Arabidopsis thaliana: one gene and its partner. The protein of the gene in region 1 interacts with the protein of each later gene in a biochemical or structural test. Each region holds a gene or a part of one and is shown in the gene's direction. Other genes may lie near its edges. The genes, in order: BRM and SWI3C.

Evidence for each region.
Region 2: the proteins of BRM (region 1) and SWI3C form a complex in vitro, tested with the Arabidopsis thaliana proteins (one study listed by BioGRID).

The regions. Positions count from the first base shown.
Region 1 is NC_003071.7:18,920,735-18,928,678, forward strand, and holds the start of BRM (transcription regulatory protein SNF2), read left to right. Parts: upstream 1-1,798; 5' UTR 1,799-2,466; intron 2,467-2,542; 5' UTR 2,543-2,569; coding exon 2,570-2,743; intron 2,744-3,040; coding exon 3,041-4,315; intron 4,316-4,438; coding exon 4,439-5,746; intron 5,747-5,916; coding exon 5,917-6,029; intron 6,030-6,247; coding exon 6,248-6,335; intron 6,336-6,430; coding exon 6,431-6,517; intron 6,518-6,628; coding exon 6,629-6,721; intron 6,722-7,031; coding exon 7,032-7,115; coding exon of another isoform or gene 7,116-7,130; intron 7,131-7,192; coding exon 7,193-7,396; intron 7,397-7,518; coding exon 7,519-7,761; intron 7,762-7,834; coding exon 7,835-7,944. Other genes in the region: AT2G45990 (ribosomal RNA small subunit methyltransferase G), read left to right, coding at 54-130, 209-309; AT2G46000 (LDL receptor wingless signaling/trafficking chaperone), read right to left, coding at 460-639, 727-855, 996-1,313. UniProt on the Arabidopsis thaliana protein: ATPase subunit of a multiprotein complex equivalent of the SWI/SNF complex that acts by remodeling the chromatin by catalyzing an ATP-dependent alteration in the structure of nucleosomal DNA.
Region 2 is NC_003070.9:7,617,387-7,627,069, reverse strand, and holds SWI3C (SWITCH/sucrose nonfermenting 3C), read left to right. Parts: upstream 1-2,903; 5' UTR 2,904-3,091; coding exon 3,092-3,107; intron 3,108-3,245; coding exon 3,246-3,776; intron 3,777-4,302; coding exon 4,303-4,841; intron 4,842-4,997; coding exon 4,998-5,355; intron 5,356-5,447; coding exon 5,448-5,521; intron 5,522-5,716; coding exon 5,717-5,802; intron 5,803-5,897; coding exon 5,898-5,965; intron 5,966-6,066; coding exon 6,067-6,242; intron 6,243-6,338; coding exon 6,339-6,914; 3' UTR 6,915-7,069; downstream 7,070-9,683. Other genes in the region: PBC1 (proteasome beta subunit C1), read right to left, coding at 153-260, 370-551, 671-676; OGG1 (8-oxoguanine-DNA glycosylase 1), read right to left, coding at 1,201-1,443, 1,560-1,770, 1,988-2,631; AT1G21695 (hydroxyproline-rich glycoprotein family protein), read right to left, coding at 7,285-7,938; EMB1968 (ATPase family associated with various cellular activities (AAA)), read right to left, coding at 8,649-8,747, 9,027-9,113, 9,197-9,322, 9,422-9,481, 9,567-9,629. UniProt on the Arabidopsis thaliana protein: Component of a multiprotein complex equivalent of the SWI/SNF complex, an ATP-dependent chromatin-remodeling complex, which is required for the positive and negative regulation of gene expression of a large number of genes.

The DNA.
Region 1 (7,944 bases):
TTGGTAATGGTCACCATTAGTTTACAATCCCTATGCATTTTTAATTTGGCCAGTTTCGTGGAAGACAGACTCGCAACGCTGAAAAATGTCATAAAAGAGCCTGAATTAGACAAATGGAGTTTATACCTAGGTGGTCTCTTCCCTCTCCCATATCATCACTTCTGGTTCCCCTTATTGGTTATTCTGACAAAAACTTATCTCAAAACAGGAACCTGGGGATACAACACTGAGAAAGAGAGAGCTGAAGCAGCAGGCATTCCCAGGATTCAGGTTATTGAGCTCTCCACGTTTAGCAATAAGCTTAAATGAGTGCATATACTCATTGGAAAAGAAACAAAGCTTTCCTCTTTATTGTATTCTACGGCATTCAACGGAAACTAAAAACCAAACATGTTTAGGTAAGATTCAGTAAAAGAGTTGAACTTTCAGTACTACCCATTATAGAAGCTTTTCTGTGACCTATAATTCATCCTTAGTAAGATCATTCTTGTTACCATCACCATCTTCGTGATCTTTCCTTTGCTCAGCTTGAAATTTGTCAAAGACATCTTCAAATGGAGGATCTCCAGGTCTTCTAAACTCTTGCTTCCCTATCTTGACCTCGTAAGCTTCTTCTTGGCTCAGCACGAATTCCCTTAGCTAATTGAAAGATATGATTGTGATGTTAGATTTTGACTAATCCACTAAACAAAGTTTTCAGCATTGTGTGTTTTCTGTGGCTTTTACCTCAGTCACAAGCTTCCCATTTTGCATATTGAACATCACTGTGCTTCGATCTACAGCCATGAATCTTACTCCTATCCCTCCTGTTCTTAAAACTTTTGTCCATTTCATAGCAATATCAATCACCACATCCTGATTGAAACATATAAACAGATCACTATTCAATCCCCTGAAGCAACTGGACCCATATCGAATTCAGAGAATTTTGAACAGTAACTGAAACTATAACTTAAGGACCCCAAATTCACGATTCGATTTGGATTTTAGTTTACCTTGGTACGGGGGACGCCTAACCGGAGCTTGACGAAACCGACGACGGTTCCAAAAGTCCGTTTAGCCATTTCCTCTTGGATCTGATCGAATCCCATATTGGTGAAATCCGGAGGCGGATCAAATTCCGGGGTCGTTGCTTTCTTCCCCCACTCTTTCCATGACTCGTCTTCTTCATTGTCTTCAACGTCGTCTAGGTCATCGGAGATCTCGATCCGTCGCTTCGTTGCTTCGGCGATCCGGACAAATCCGTGAAAATTCATAAAAAGAAGGAGGCCAACAAGTAGAATCAGCGAAGAAGAACGAACGATCTTCTCCATCGTTTAACAAATTTATTCAGGAATCAGAAACAGAGGAAGAGAGACTGCATCGGCAACGGCATTTCTATATCAGTAAAGCTTCTACAAACTCGCACACAAGTCACAAAACCATAATAATGTGACTTTTTACTTGTTTCGGGAAAAAAAACTATTAACGACATAAACTGAACCTGCTGGTTCAAAACTGTTCGCCGTTTTTCTATCTTAAAATAGAACTGCGTGCCAACTATTGACGTAAAGATGGCAAGCATATCAAGGCTGAAAGATGAAAACGACACGAGGTTGCACCGTAAATAAAACAAGGGTAATTGTATGATTCTCTCTAATCTACTACTGCACTACAGAAGGTAAAACTAAAAGTCAAAATTTGTCTAATTTTAAATTCAAATTAATTAATCAAGTAAAACAAACATAAGTCTAATTTGATTTCCAAATTTGTTTTTTTTTTTCTTTTTTTGATTTCCAAATTTGTTTATAGTAGTATCATTTTAGTATTCTTATTACCCAATACGGAAACAAATATTTGAAATAAACATGGAAAAATTAAAAGTCATTCCATTTGGTTAACAAAAGGAACGTTTGGTAAATTCACACGTGTCTCATCGTCATTTGTGCAACTGACTTGTATAAGGAAGGGTACTTGTGGTAATAAAAGCGAAAACCGAGGGGTGGCCTCGTGAAACGCATTTTCCGTGTTCCAACTGTATCGAGGCGTGGGACCTACAATCAAAAATAAAATAAAATTAATGCCCCTTCCAAAAAAAAAAAGAAAGAGAAAAAAAAGAAAAAGGGAAGTAAGAAGCCAGCTAGGGTTTGACTGCGAGAAATTTCTGATCTGCGTGAATTTCTCAAAGAGAGGAATCGATCATCGATTCCGTGGATTTCGTTTCCCTCCCTTTTTATTTTTATTTTTCGAGAAGCCATCTCAAAGGATCTGAGTTTATACCGTTGCATCCCCCGCGACTTTCGTTTTCCGATTTCCCCCAAATTCGATGCAAATCTAAGAAGAGAGAGAAATAGAAAGGTGTGTGCGCTTCAACCGACTCAGTGTCTCTCTCTCTCTCTCTCTCTCTCTCTCTCTGTTGCTATTTGAGGTTTTTTCCTTTGCCTCGGGGGCTCTCGCTGTCCGAATTCTTTTGTAGGGATTTATTGGGTAGGGTTTTTCCACTTTTTTTTTGTCTTCTTCTACTAGCTTCGTTGTGCATTGGGTTTAATTGTTTCCAGTGTAGTGACTGTCAGATTCTTCGACCAATTGCATGCAATCTGGAGGCAGTGGCGGAGGGCCCGCTCGGAATCCGGCCATGGGTCCGGCTGGTCGGACTGCTTCCACGTCATCCGCTGCTTCTCCTTCTTCTTCCTCTTCATCTGTGCAGCAGCAGCAACAGCAACAGCAACAGCAGCAACAGCAACAGCAGCTGGCGTCTAGGCAGGTAAAGGATTCTCAAGTCTCTGTTTGGTTCGTTATGACTTAGGAGGGATAAAATGCTTGTTTGTAGTGGCTAATGTTTGTCTGTTAAACTTGCGGCTATTCAATTTTAGTGGGACTTGACTGTTTATCAATTCTGTGTAAAAGGAAAGTAACCAATATCTTTAAATTGAAGTTGTGTAATGGTAGCCACTTGGAGAACATGTTTTGTTCATTTCCACATATATATATAGTTGCTCTGAATTGTGGATTATTGTTCATTTGATTGTTACTAATTATTATCGTGCTTCTGATATGGCAGCAGCAGCAGCAGCACAGAAACTCAGATACAAACGAAAATATGTTTGCATATCAACCTGGTGGGGTTCAGGGAATGATGGGCGGTGGCAACTTTGCTTCGTCTCCGGGCTCTATGCAAATGCCTCAGCAGTCTAGAAATTTTTTTGAGTCTCCTCAGCAACAACAACAACAACAACAACAGGGTTCTTCTACCCAAGAGGGCCAGCAAAATTTTAATCCAATGCAGCAAGCGTATATTCAGTTTGCTATGCAGGCTCAGCATCAAAAAGCACAGCAGCAAGCTAGGATGGGAATGGTGGGTTCATCAAGTGTGGGAAAGGATCAAGATGCACGAATGGGAATGTTGAATATGCAAGACTTGAATCCGTCTAGTCAGCCCCAGGCCTCATCATCGAAGCCATCGGGCGATCAGTTTGCTCGCGGTGAAAGGCAGACTGAATCAAGTTCTCAGCAAAGGAACGAAACAAAATCTCATCCTCAGCAGCAGGTGGGTACCGGACAACTAATGCCTGGAAATATGATAAGGCCAATGCAAGCACCACAGGCTCAGCAGCTTGTCAATAACATGGGAAACAACCAACTCGCATTTGCACAACAGTGGCAGGCAATGCAGGCATGGGCGCGTGAGCGTAATATCGATCTCTCACATCCTGCCAACGCCAGCCAAATGGCACACATCCTTCAGGCAAGAATGGCTGCTCAACAGAAAGCTGGTGAAGGCAATGTGGCCTCACAGTCACCATCTATTCCAATCTCTAGCCAGCCGGCTTCATCTTCGGTTGTTCCAGGTGAGAATTCACCACATGCCAACTCTGCTAGTGATATCTCTGGGCAGTCAGGATCAGCGAAGGCCAGACATGCATTATCTACTGGCTCATTTGCCTCGACTTCCAGTCCCAGAATGGTCAATCCTGCTATGAATCCCTTCTCCGGCCAAGGGAGAGAGAATCCAATGTATCCTCGACATTTAGTTCAGCCTACAAATGGGATGCCCTCAGGAAATCCCCTGCAGACTTCTGCAAATGAGACTCCTGTTTTGGATCAGAATGCATCTACAAAAAAAAGTTTAGGTCCTGCTGAACATTTGCAAATGCAGCAGCCTAGGCAACTGAATACACCGACTCCAAATTTAGTAGCGCCATCTGATACTGGTCCACTCAGTAACTCGTCCCTTCAGAGTGGACAGGGGACCCAACAAGCACAGCAGCGATCAGGATTTACCAAACAGCAACTCCATGTTCTCAAAGCCCAGATACTGGCATTTAGGCGTTTGAAGGTTTTCAGCTCTGACTTTTTCCTTATGTCTTCATTTTTATTGTATGTTTTGCTGGAGATGTATGCCTATAAATAACGTGTCTGCAAGCCAGGTTGAATGTTTTTAATTGCTTTTTTTTGACAGAAAGGGGAAGGTTCTTTGCCTCCGGAGCTTCTTCAAGCTATTTCTCCACCACCGCTTGAACTACAGACGCAGAGGCAAATATCTCCTGCCATAGGGAAAGTTCAGGATAGATCTTCAGACAAAACTGGAGAAGACCAAGCAAGGTCGCTAGAGTGTGGCAAGGAGTCTCAGGCTGCTGCTTCTTCAAATGGACCAATTTTTTCTAAAGAGGAAGATAATGTTGGAGATACAGAAGTAGCTTTGACGACAGGCCACAGCCAATTATTTCAAAACCTGGGAAAAGAAGCTACTTCTACTGACGTGGCTACGAAAGAGGAGCAACAGACTGATGTATTCCCTGTTAAGTCAGACCAAGGAGCAGATTCTAGTACTCAAAAGAATCCTAGAAGTGATTCTACAGCTGATAAGGGAAAGGCTGTTGCATCTGATGGAAGCCAATCTAAGGTTCCTCCACAAGCAAACTCTCCCCAGCCGCCCAAGGATACAGCCTCTGCCAGGAAATATTATGGACCGTTGTTTGATTTTCCCTTTTTCACTCGAAAACTTGACTCTTATGGGTCTGCAACAGCCAATGCCAATAACAATCTCACATTAGCATATGATATTAAAGATCTGATTTGTGAAGAAGGTGCAGAGTTCCTTAGTAAGAAAAGAACAGACAGTTTGAAGAAGATAAATGGTCTGCTAGCAAAAAATTTAGAAAGGAAAAGGATTAGGCCTGATCTTGTTTTACGGCTTCAAATTGAAGAGAAAAAGCTTAGGCTATCTGATCTTCAGTCTCGTGTTAGAGAGGAAGTAGATCGACAACAACAGGAGATAATGTCCATGCCGGATAGGCCGTACCGCAAATTTGTGAGGTTATGCGAACGGCAACGCCTAGAAATGAATAGACAAGTACTGGCCAATCAGAAAGCTGTCAGAGAGAAGCAGCTGAAAACCATTTTTCAGTGGCGTAAGAAACTCCTTGAGGCTCATTGGGCTATACGTGATGCACGCACTGCTCGTAACAGGGGAGTGGCCAAATACCATGAAAAGATGTTGAGAGAGTTTTCAAAGAGAAAAGATGATGGCCGCAACAAAAGGATGGAGGCCTTGAAGAATAATGATGTAGAAAGATACAGGGAGATGTTGCTGGAACAGCAAACTAATATGCCTGGTGATGCTGCTGAAAGATATGCTGTTCTCTCTTCATTTTTGACCCAAACCGAAGATTATCTTCATAAACTTGGAGGTAAGATTACTGCCACAAAAAATCAACAGGAAGTGGAGGAGGCAGCAAATGCTGCAGCAGTAGCAGCGAGATTGCAGGTATACATACTGCTTTCTCTACTCCACAGCGAATATCCATTACACTCTGTAGATAATTCTTCAAACTTTAACTTAAATGTTGACTTTTGCGTGTTTCAGAAAATAGAACTTTTTCTTTTCAAAGGTATAGTGGATATATAGTACCTTACCTGTTTCCGTTTTTGACGCAGGGGTTGTCAGAAGAAGAGGTCAGGGCAGCAGCTACTTGTGCTCGAGAAGAAGTTGTGATCAGAAATAGATTTACGGAAATGAATGCGCCAAAAGAAAATTCATCTGTCAACAAGTAAGGGCATTAGTCACACAAAAAATGATTAAAATAGGGAATTAGCAAAGTACTAGTTGTAACTCATAATTACCAATGCAGCTGAATACTTAAAAAGTATGTGCTTATCTGTAAAATGCTGATAATCCTGCACATCCATATGTGAGAGAATTCTACAGATCACAAGATTAGGAATAGGCGCCGTGGGTGATGTCTAACTCTGTTATGTCCAACTCTAGGTACTATACTCTGGCTCATGCTGTAAATGAAGTGGTTGTAAGACAACCTTCAATGCTTCAGGCTGGAACTTTGCGTGATTACCAGCTGGTATCTCCTCCATCTATACTCTATGTTGTTGCTTTTTTCTCACTGTCATGCCACGTTTTGATGGTTTCTAAGGTTTTTTGCTCTGTGCCAATCAGGTTGGATTACAATGGATGCTATCGTTGTATAATAACAAATTAAACGGGATCTTGGCTGATGAGATGGGTCTTGGAAAAACTGTTCAGGTTAAATCTGTTCCCGATTTGCAGGGATTCCTGGATTTACTTTTCTTTCGCCTTTGGTGACCAATAAATTATTATATTGTCCTATCATAATATACTAATTGTTTTGTACAGGTAATGGCACTGATTGCTTACCTTATGGAGTTTAAAGGGAATTATGGACCGCATCTCATCATCGTTCCCAATGCTGTTCTGGTGAATTGGAAGGTTTGTGTTTCTGATAGACTCTCTTATGATTTTCCACAGAATCAATGCTTAGAACCAAGGGAGTATTTGAGACCCCAAGTCTCCCAACTCATAATTATCTCACTCAGTTCCGCGAGAACCCACAAGCCTCTTATATCCATTATCTAAGCTTAACTTTGACTCTAGCTAACTAGCTGTTAGTTGCGCTGACATGGCCATATCCTGTTGATGAACTCTTCTGTGTTCTTTAGAATACGTATAAGTTTTTTTGCTATCTTTCGTTGACTTCTCTCTGGTACCTGATTAAAGTCCAATGGGTTTTCTTCTGCAGAGTGAACTCCATACTTGGCTGCCATCTGTTTCATGCATATATTATGTTGGTACAAAGGATCAACGTTCAAAATTGTTCTCTCAGGTAAAATTTGAAAAAGTTTCTTTTGCTCCAGATGTTTTGAAGACGTTAATTGATACATCCCCTGTTCTCTTTAACAGGAGGTTTGCGCCATGAAGTTCAATGTCCTCGTTACGACTTATGAGTTCATTATGTATGATCGATCAAAACTCTCAAAAGTTGACTGGAAATATATTATAATTGATGAAGCACAACGGATGAAGGACAGAGAATCTGTTTTGGCCCGAGATCTTGACCGGTATCGCTGCCAGAGGAGATTACTTCTCACTGGAACACCTTTGCAGGTTGGTAATAGCTGTATAGCTACTTGGGCATAAATCAGGACATATAACAAATGGAAACCAAGATTGTATAAGCTGTTTACATTATTTGACTATTCTTATCCTGCTTTTATTAAATCTTGCAGAACGATCTGAAAGAGCTTTGGTCACTATTGAACCTTCTCCTTCCTGATGTCTTTGACAATCGAAAAGCATTTCATGATTGGTTTGCGCAACCCTTTCAAAAAGAAGGTCCTGCGCATAATATAGAAGATGACTGGCTGGAGACTGAAAAAAAGGTCATAGTCATTCACAGACTTCATCAAATTTTAGAGCCATTCATGCTCAGACGCCGTGTTGAGGATGTGGAAGGGTCACTTCCTGCTAAGGTAGGATCTATCTTATATTTTTGCTGTTATTTTCCGTCTAGATATTTCCTCTGATTATGCTTTTGGGTTGCAGGTTTCTGTAGTCTTACGATGTAGAATGTCTGCTATTCAGAGTGCCGTTTATGATTGGATTAAAGCGACTGGAACTCTTAGAGTTGATCCAGACGATGAAAAACTTAGGGC
Region 2 (9,683 bases), on another chromosome or scaffold:
AGCAACCAATCTGATTATCTTTCTAAATCATGATTCAGAGACAAACTAAGCAAATCATTCCTAACCAGAATTAAAACTAGAGTCAGAAGCAGCATCGCAAATCAACAGGTAACTAATACAGCTACATAAGTAAACAACACAAGCACACTGACCTCTTCTCGTAAAGGATGGCTGAGACAAGACTAGCGAAAGTTTCAGGCTTCATGTCTCTCTCTTCCCTAAGCTGGTAAAGCTTATGACGAAACACCAAGCGCTGGTATCTTCAAACATCAAAAGACAAAACAAAGAGGAAAAAAAATCTTCTCAGTTCACTTCAAAATGTAAAAACAAACAAATATGAAAAATTTAGAAGCTTGCACGATAGTTTACAGTGTTTGAACATCGGTGGCGAGACCAGAAAGACCGATGAAGACACGATCGTGGATCTTGGAGATTCTCTGGAAATCAGTGGCGATTGTCTGTAGCTGAACACCGAGTCTCCGATCACTGGCGATGGCGAAACAATTCTTACCTACCATAGCAACAACAGCACTTCCATTGTACTCGAAGATCTGCATCGCCACAAATATCAATCAATTTTATCGTTCAGTCACTATTAAACCATTGATGCGTAAGACTAATAGAGCTGAGGTCTCCGAAATTAAAATTAACTGGGAATTATCAAACTTACCGACATCGGAAACTTAGGGTTTCAGAGTAGAATTTGGAGTTTTTTTCAGAACGGAGACGAAATCTGGGAAGGAGGAGGGGAGAGAGAGGGAGTACTAAGTAAAGTCGACGGTGGCTTGGAGGAAAATCCAGCCGGACTTTCTTTTTCGCCTCCAATAGTATTTTGGGCCTAATTTAGGCCTCGCTTTATTGGGCTTCTTATAGAAATTTAATTTCGACGAAATTTAGTTTTGTTTTTTGACAAAAGAAATAGATAAAAGGAAAAAATTCTCATTTCAAATCAAGAGAATTGCAAAGGGAACAAACAATTAGAATTTAATTTGGAAGTTTGAATGTAAAGTTACAAGTACATATCAAGATTGGTTCCTTAGTAAACAATGATCATAACAAATAACTACGCTCATTTGCCAGGGAGCCAAATACTGCATCAGCTTCAGAATTTTCTTAGCTCTTCCAAGGTCAAGTTTCTGGACTTGACGCATCAAGAATGGGTTGTGAAAACGATTCCTCGTAGCTTAGGTAGACACATAGTCATGGCTTCAACGTATCACAGCTAGTTTCATTAACTTCTGCAGACTCATCCAGTTTGTTAATGGGCTGGGAAAACGATTGCAAGAGAGTTTTTTGTGCAGGTAACTCGGCAATGAAAAGCAATGTTTGAGCCCAACCAGCATATTCACCATATTTACTCACAAAGGCTTCTGCAACTCGGCCATGGAGTTTAGGTGTCAGTTTTGCACCAGCAAGGTCTGGCAGTAGATAATTTGTTGCGATCTGATCCATTATCCAAAACAGAACAAAAAAAAAGTTGCCCGAAGTCATCATCACCATTATGTAATTGGATCTCAATTAAGTAAGTACAATACATAGAAACCGATGGACTTTGTTACCTGCCAGACATGTGTGTCAACCGGAATAGCACTATGCTGATCAAGAGAAAACAGAGCTATGCAAGCTGCTACCTTCGGACCAACACCAGGTAATGTACACAGCGCAGCAACTGCCTCTTGGAGTTCGACTTTGCGCAGAGAAAGAAGCCATTCATTACCACCACCTGGCTTTGCTTGCAAAGCATTCACTGTACCTGTTATGTATTTGGCTCTGCTCACCACAAGATAAACCAGAATGAGAGTTTTCAAATGAGATCAGAACCAATCAGAGAAACGGCCACACAATGATTATCTAGCTTAGACCAAACATTAGCTTCAATTCTATGAATGTATAGCCACAGAGTAAATAAAAGTATAAGCTTCAAGCAAAGTTTTAGCCTAAATGTCTAATTCAACATAATGCAACCATTAGAGAGTGATGAAATCACCTGTAACCAAAACCAGCCTTTCTAAACTCTTCCTCAGAAACCCTAGATAATCGATCCAATGATGGGAACTGATGAAACTCAAATCCATCAATGTCACCCAAATGTAACCCTAAAGACGAAACAAAATCCACCATCTTCGTAATCCTCGCAATGTTATTGTTCGATGAGCACAAAAACTGTATCAAGCACTCGAGCGGATCCTGCCTCAACACACGAGCGCCACGGAGATGTCTCGCTAGCTCTCCGAAACGAGGATCTTTTTTCGAGAAATCAGACCATAGCTCAGCTAACGAGATCTCAGCATTGAGAAAATCGAGCAACGCAAGCTCCGCGGATTTAGGGCTTGTGCTACAATGGACGCAGTAGGAAACTGCGTCGTCTCCTGGACGTTGTCTAAGAGAGACTAAGTGAGGCCCAATCGTTCCGCTATACTGAATCGCTCCAGTTTTCTTCCACCGGAATGTTTGACCCGTCGGAAAAGTTAACGGCAACGTCAGCTCCGTGTGGGTTAGTTTTAACGGGAACCATTTAGGTGTTCCTGTTCTGTGTAGCTTCTGTTTGAGAATCGGTGTGACCGGCGGAGACAGTGGTGGTTTGACGGTGGAAGAGATCGACGGCTGAGATGTAGGTCGAGGTCTCTTCATCGCCGTTGCTCGTTAACGGAACCACCACACCAGTATTAATGCGCGACGGTCGACTAATGTATCAATTTAAACCGGTTTAACCAATTTGAACTTTAAGAACCGAACTAAATAATTGATTCGGTTTTTCTCATTCAAAATTGAAAAATAAAACCGAAGTAAAGTTGACTTTAACCGAAGTTAAACCAAAATTTGGATTGGTCAACGAAGCTTGAATTTCGAAATCAGAACCCTCTTGTTTGTCGAGAAGGTTAGGTCGTCGTGGAGAATGAATTAATATATAGAGATTAATGAAGGAAATGGTGAAAGAAATTGCGAGAAAAAGGTTTGGTGTTTAGCTCGAGAGCTGGAAATCAGAACGACTCGGAGGAGAGAAGACAAAGAAAGCAATTCTTTTTACTAAGGGTCTTGCTTCGATTCCACAGAACCCAAAACCTCTATTTCTCTATCTTCATCCACAAAAATGCCAGCTTCTGAAGGTAAATTGCTGTTTCACATCTTTATCTCTCTCAAAATCCAAATTTAAATTGGGATTTGACTTACCCACATAGATCGTAGTGATGGGTATTTCGAGAATTCGTGTGAATTGAATTACACTTTTTACAATTCTGTCGCAGATAGAAGAGGGAAATGGAAAAGGAAGAAGAGAGGGGGGTTATCGGCGGCGAGGAAACCGAAACAAGAGGAGGAAGATATGGAGGAAGAAGACGAAGAGAATAACAACAACAACAACGAAGAAATGGATGACGTTGAAAATGCCGATGAGCTTCAGCAAAACGGCGGCGCAACTCCCGATCCGGGACTTGGTATTGGCGAGGTAGTTGAAGATTCTGGTTCGCGCATCTCTGATTTCCCGGCAGTGGTTAAGCGTGTTGTGATCCGGCCACACGCGTCTGTAATGGCTGTTGTGGCGGCTGAGAGAGCTGGTTTGATAGGGGAGACTAGAGGGCAAGGTTCACTTCCAGCTCTGGAGAACATTTCGTTTGGGCAATTGCAAGCGTTATCTACTGTACCTGCTGATTCTCTTGATCTTGAGAGGAGTGATGGATCGTCTTCGGCTTATGTTATCTCTCCACCACCTATTATGGATGGAGAAGGAGTTGTTAAACGGTTTGGGGATCTGGTTCATGTCTTGCCTATGCATTCAGGTGTGTTTTTTCTTCCTCTTGATACGCGCATTTATGTTAGAGGTTAGGCTTTATGCAGCATCAGCTTTTGCTGGTTGGTAGTATTGTAGTATATATCTTGTGATTGGAATGAGAATTAGTCAAAACAGGTTTGTATGCCGGTATCTCCTTAACGTATAAGTTCTTATCTTCCTTTTGTCTAGTGCCTGGTTCTTAGTTTACATTAATCTGAACGCGACTCAATTTCATATCAGATGTTTCTCTATGTTCCCATGTTCTGTCTGATGGAAAGGAAGAGGTATTATAACTTTTGTACATGATAAATTAGAGTACCTGCTGGCTTGAAGTAGCCTTAGGTGTCTTATCTCAGAAGTACAACTTGAATAGACTATGCAAGTGATGTTCTTCTAATTCGTTTGGGTTTTGTTCCTGGAGTCCTATGGCTCAAATATATCGAGATTCTCCTCTTATTTTATTTTTATTTTCTGATATTTTTGTTCCCAATGCTCGAATTTATTCTTCTACTTTTGCTGTTACATTTGAGCAGATTGGTTTGCACCAAACACAGTAGATCGACTTGAAAGGCAAGTGGTGCCACAGTTTTTCTCTGGGAAATCGCCAAATCATACACCCGAAAGTTATATGGAATTCAGGAACGCCATTGTTTCCAAATATGTAGAGAACCCTGAAAAGACACTGACGATTTCTGATTGCCAAGGATTGGTAGATGGTGTTGACATTGAAGATTTTGCACGAGTTTTCCGTTTTCTTGATCACTGGGGAATAATCAATTACTGTGCCACTGCCCAGTCACATCCTGGCCCTTTGAGAGATGTATCGGATGTGAGGGAGGACACAAATGGCGAGGTCAATGTGCCGTCTGCTGCTTTAACATCTATTGATAGTTTGATCAAATTTGACAAGCCCAACTGTAGACACAAGGGGGGTGAAGTCTATTCATCCTTGCCAAGTTTGGATGGTGACAGCCCTGACTTGGACATCAGAATTCGTGAACACCTATGTGATAGTCATTGCAACCATTGTTCTCGACCGCTTCCAACTGTGTACTTCCAATCGCAAAAGAAGGTTCTTAGGCTGCTTCCCCTTACGTACTGTTCTTTGTGTATCATTATCTGATTCTTTTTTGCACCCAGTGATGTAATAGACTCCAAGCTTTATCTTGCTTACTGTCTCGGATACTGGACCGCTTCTAACTAAAGGATCTTCATCTCTACTTTACAGGGGGATATACTCTTATGCTGTGATTGTTTTCACCATGGAAGATTTGTTGTTGGACATTCTTGTCTTGACTTTGTAAGAGTGGATCCAATGAAATTTTATGGCGATCAAGATGGAGACAATTGGACTGATCAGGAAACTCTCTTGCTTCTTGAAGCTGTGGAACTCTACAATGAAAATTGGGTTCAAATTGCTGATCATGTTGGTTCCAAGTCAAAAGCTCAATGCATTCTTCATTTTCTTCGATTACCTGTGGAGGATGGTCTATTAGATAATGTTGAGGTTTCTGGTGTAACTAATACGGAAAACCCTACAAATGGATATGACCACAAAGGAACAGATTCAAATGGGGATTTACCTGGTGATTTTGTTTTATTCAATTTGTAGCAATGAATTACTTTCCATAGTTATTTCCTTTGACATGCCATACTAATTGTCCGCTTGCGTCTGCAGGATATTCCGAGCAAGGTTCTGACACTGAGATCAAGCTTCCATTTGTGAAGTCTCCGAATCCGGTTATGGCATTGGTTTGTGAACTTTTTTCCGATGCAGATTTCATATGCGCTTCTTATTATCCTTATGATCTCACCAGTTAGAGATATCTCTGATCCATGAATCGATTATATCTGAGAGCTCAATTGTATGCATATTTTGAGTGGAGAATGGTCCTGTATTGCACATAAGTTTGGAGATATGAGGATCCTGATACCAAAATATTTTAGGTTGCATTTTTGGCATCAGCTGTTGGACCTCGAGTTGCTGCGTCCTGTGCCCATGAATCCCTCTCGGTTTTATCTGAGGACGATAGGTTAGTGTATTATATAGTCTCTATCCAATATAAATTCTCTGTAGTGTGATTCAGTTTAATAATACTATGGACTATTCTGAAACTTCTTGATCTAGGATGAAATCTGAGGGAATGCAAGGGAAAGAAGCCAGCTTGCTTGATGGAGAAAATCAACAGCAAGATGGTAAGGAAGTTATTTGATTGTTCTCTTTACAGTGATTCTTTGCTCTTTTGTTTTAACCTAATCTGCGACACCAACATGCTTTAATTGTAAAAAAAACTCAGGAGCACACAAAACATCAAGCCAAAACGGAGCAGAAGCGCAGACTCCACTGCCACAGGATAAGGTTATGGCAGCATTTAGAGCCGGTCTATCAGCTGCAGCAACAAAAGCAAAATTGTTTGCTGATCATGAGGAACGCGAAATCCAGAGACTTTCTGCTAATATCGTTAATCACCAGGTAAAATAGCAGAACCAGTTGCTGATGAGAATTACTGTAGGTAGTTGATTTATTTTGTTGTATAGTGTTTATTGCTGATCTGAGTAAAAACCGCAGCTGAAGAGGATGGAGCTGAAATTAAAGCAGTTCGCAGAAATTGAAACACTGTTGATGAAAGAATGCGAACAAGTAGAGAAAACCCGTCAGAGATTTTCTGCAGAACGGGCTCGTATGCTCTCAGCAAGATTTGGATCTCCTGGAGGAATCTCTCCACAGACTAATAATCTCCAAGGCATGTCTCTATCCACAGGTGGTAACAACATCAATTCTCTCATGCATCAGCAACATCAGCAACAACAAGCTTCCGCAACTTCTCAACCAAGCATAATCCCAGGATTCAGCAACAACCCGCAAGTTCAAGCACAGATGCATTTCATGGCACGACAACAACAACAACAACAACAACAACAACAACAACAACAGCAAGCTTTCTCGTTTGGCCCGAGATTACCTCTCAATGCAATACAGACCAATGCAGGATCAACAGCTTCACCAAACGTCATGTTTGGCAACAACCAACTAAATAACCCTGCAGCAGCTGGAGCAGCATCGATCAACCAGCCTTCGTTTAGTCACCCGATGGTTAGGTCTTCCACAGGTTCAGGCTCAGGGTCCGGCTTAGGCTTAAACTAAGATCCATCTTTCTCTAGCTTATTTAGCTTATCAGTATCCATATTTATTTCACCTTGTTATTTTTAAAGATAAGTTATTTGGCTTTGAGACCGTAGTCTTGTTCCAAGTTAGTGTCTTGTAGTATCAAACCATCATCATCATCATTGTGAATTAAAACAGTCACCAATCTTAATGTCTCTCTTTCCCACAACCATTTCTCTACTCTTCAAACATTAGGGGTCTTTTAACTCGATTCATTTTGACGATAATATATAGACAATTTCATTACAAATCTACATGTAACATATTCGTTCTTGTCGCAATGAAAAACTCAAAATCATTTTTATTTGATTAATCTCTAAGATGTTTTTTTTTTTTTAAGCCTAACCATTTAACCAAGGCGGGAACGAGCTATCATTAACATGGTTTTTTTCTCATAAGAGCTTAAATCCGAATCAGTCCGTTTTAGCGGCGAACCACGGCGAGAAGAGAAGGACGATTTCGGCGAACTCCACCTCGAAGATACCGGCGATCCCTGGCTAGAATCTTCTTCCGACGGAGAAAGCGTTGTTCCCGATTCATAGAAATTGTCAGACTCCGATGTTGTTGATGATGGTTCCTGCTGACCGGTCTTTTTTAAATCGCCGCTCTTACTCTTTTTCAACCCAAATAATGACTTGGGAAAAAAACACCGAGGCAATGAGCCACCGGCACGAGGAGAAGAAGATCGGAAATATGGAGTCGGAGATGCTGAACAGTTGGAGTCGGAATCTGAAGGCGATTTCAGCTTGAAAGACGGAGGAGGAGCGAAGGGAGAGACTGGTCGGCTTCTGGATTCAGAGAAGAAAGAAGAAGAAGACGACGGAGATGGCGAATTCGACGGCGGAGTTGATTTTAATTTGAGAGGAGGAAGTTTGTTAGGAGGAGGTGGTTGAAGAAGAGCTGGATCATCATCACCGGGTCGGGTTTTAGGTACACCGGGTCGGATCTCCCACTTAAAAGGCACAGCTCCGGGTCTCTTGAAAGAATCGTCACCATCGACCATTAGGTAAAAGTAAACAAAAGCGTTTCTGTCTTGATCAAATTAAGATTCATAAGGATTCTACTAATAAGAAACTACTTATAGATTTAGATTAGATCAATTATTTTTAGAACGTATCCAGATTTATGACAGTTTTATGTGAAGACTATAACATTCAACGAATTTTGTGTCTTGACAGCATTTTTATTTATTTATGGCATTACTAATGTTTTCTATAGTTTGGATGTGTATCCGAATCTTCCTTTTATGTGGATATGTATATTAATCCTCTTGTATTTTATTACATTTTCGTAGGATTTTACTATTTTGATTATTAGAGGTAATAAATAGAAAAATATAATTATATAAATCTACTATATTTTTTATTTTTATATTTACATTTTGGGATCTACACTGTATATATATCCAACTAGTAAAGAAACACATTACTCCTTTTACGGTGTCAATATTGGATATAGATAAAGGGATTCACTAATTCTTACAACAGAAGCAATGTCCATCAAGCTATCTGGTCATGATTTTGTTGGTTATAAGAGATGTTAATTATTTTGATTCGATCATGTATTTCACATTGTAATGATATTTAATGATCTTACCCACAAAACAAATAGACTTAAGTAATGATGCAATAAATATATCTAATAGTTTTTCTTAAAACAATAACAGATAAGTAACCAGTAAAACGTCATAACGCTCCAACTTTTTATCAAAACCTACACTATGATAGTCTCATAAGTCTTAAGGCACAGGTCCAATTCAAGCAGAATTTGCATTAGAAGTCTTGAGCCATTTCTGAGAGGGCACAAATTGTACTGCTTGCCACATCCAGAAGCTGCAAGTACTCATCCGCCCCGTCTACAAGTCGCTGGATACATTAAAAATAAAAGATGTGAGATATTTTATTATCACTAGAGGTAACAGAGACATCCTTAGCAAGATTGCAACATATCTACAGATTCAAATGGCAAAAATCTAAGATGTGAACTTCACTCAAAACCCGTAATATAATTGAGTCAAGATGTTGGTAATTGATCTCACTTGAGGCTCTAAAAGAGACACAAGTAAGGAAAATTAGTACGGGAAAGTCTTACCTTATCAGTTTCAGCTAAACATTTGCAGATCTTAGCCTTTTGCATGTCTGTTATGTCACTGTCAGCCTCCGCAACTATATCGAATAGCTGAAAGAGTGTTGTATAGAAGGGGTTATAGCCACAGTTGCATGACTTAAATGGGGTAAAAATAAGAGAGGAAAATAGAAAACCTGATTGATGATTTGAGATGCAGGATATCCTTCTGCAACTATGTTATCCACTTCCTTGTTTGCAATATCGAAATCACCACTTTTGCATGCAGTAAAAAGTTTATTGACTACCTCTAGAGGAACTACCTGATAGATTCGTTAGACATCCATATTAAACATCAGCAAGTCTGACATGGCTGAACCTACCATACACTTATGCAAATATTGGGTTAACTTCATCCTTACCCCAGACACATTGAGTAAATCTGTAGAAGTTATTGTTGATCCAAACAACCGAGTAGCACTCTGCAATATTCAGGTAGAAAGAGTGTTTCACATTTCTATGGTCGATTTCGTCTAGTAACAAATATTTCAGATAGTTTTATCTTACCTGCAGATATGTGATGGCCCTACGGAGATCACCTTGTGATATGGAGCTCAAAGTTGAAAGAGCCTGAATAGGAAACGGCTACAATAATCAGCTTTCACAAAACTAAAATAATACGGA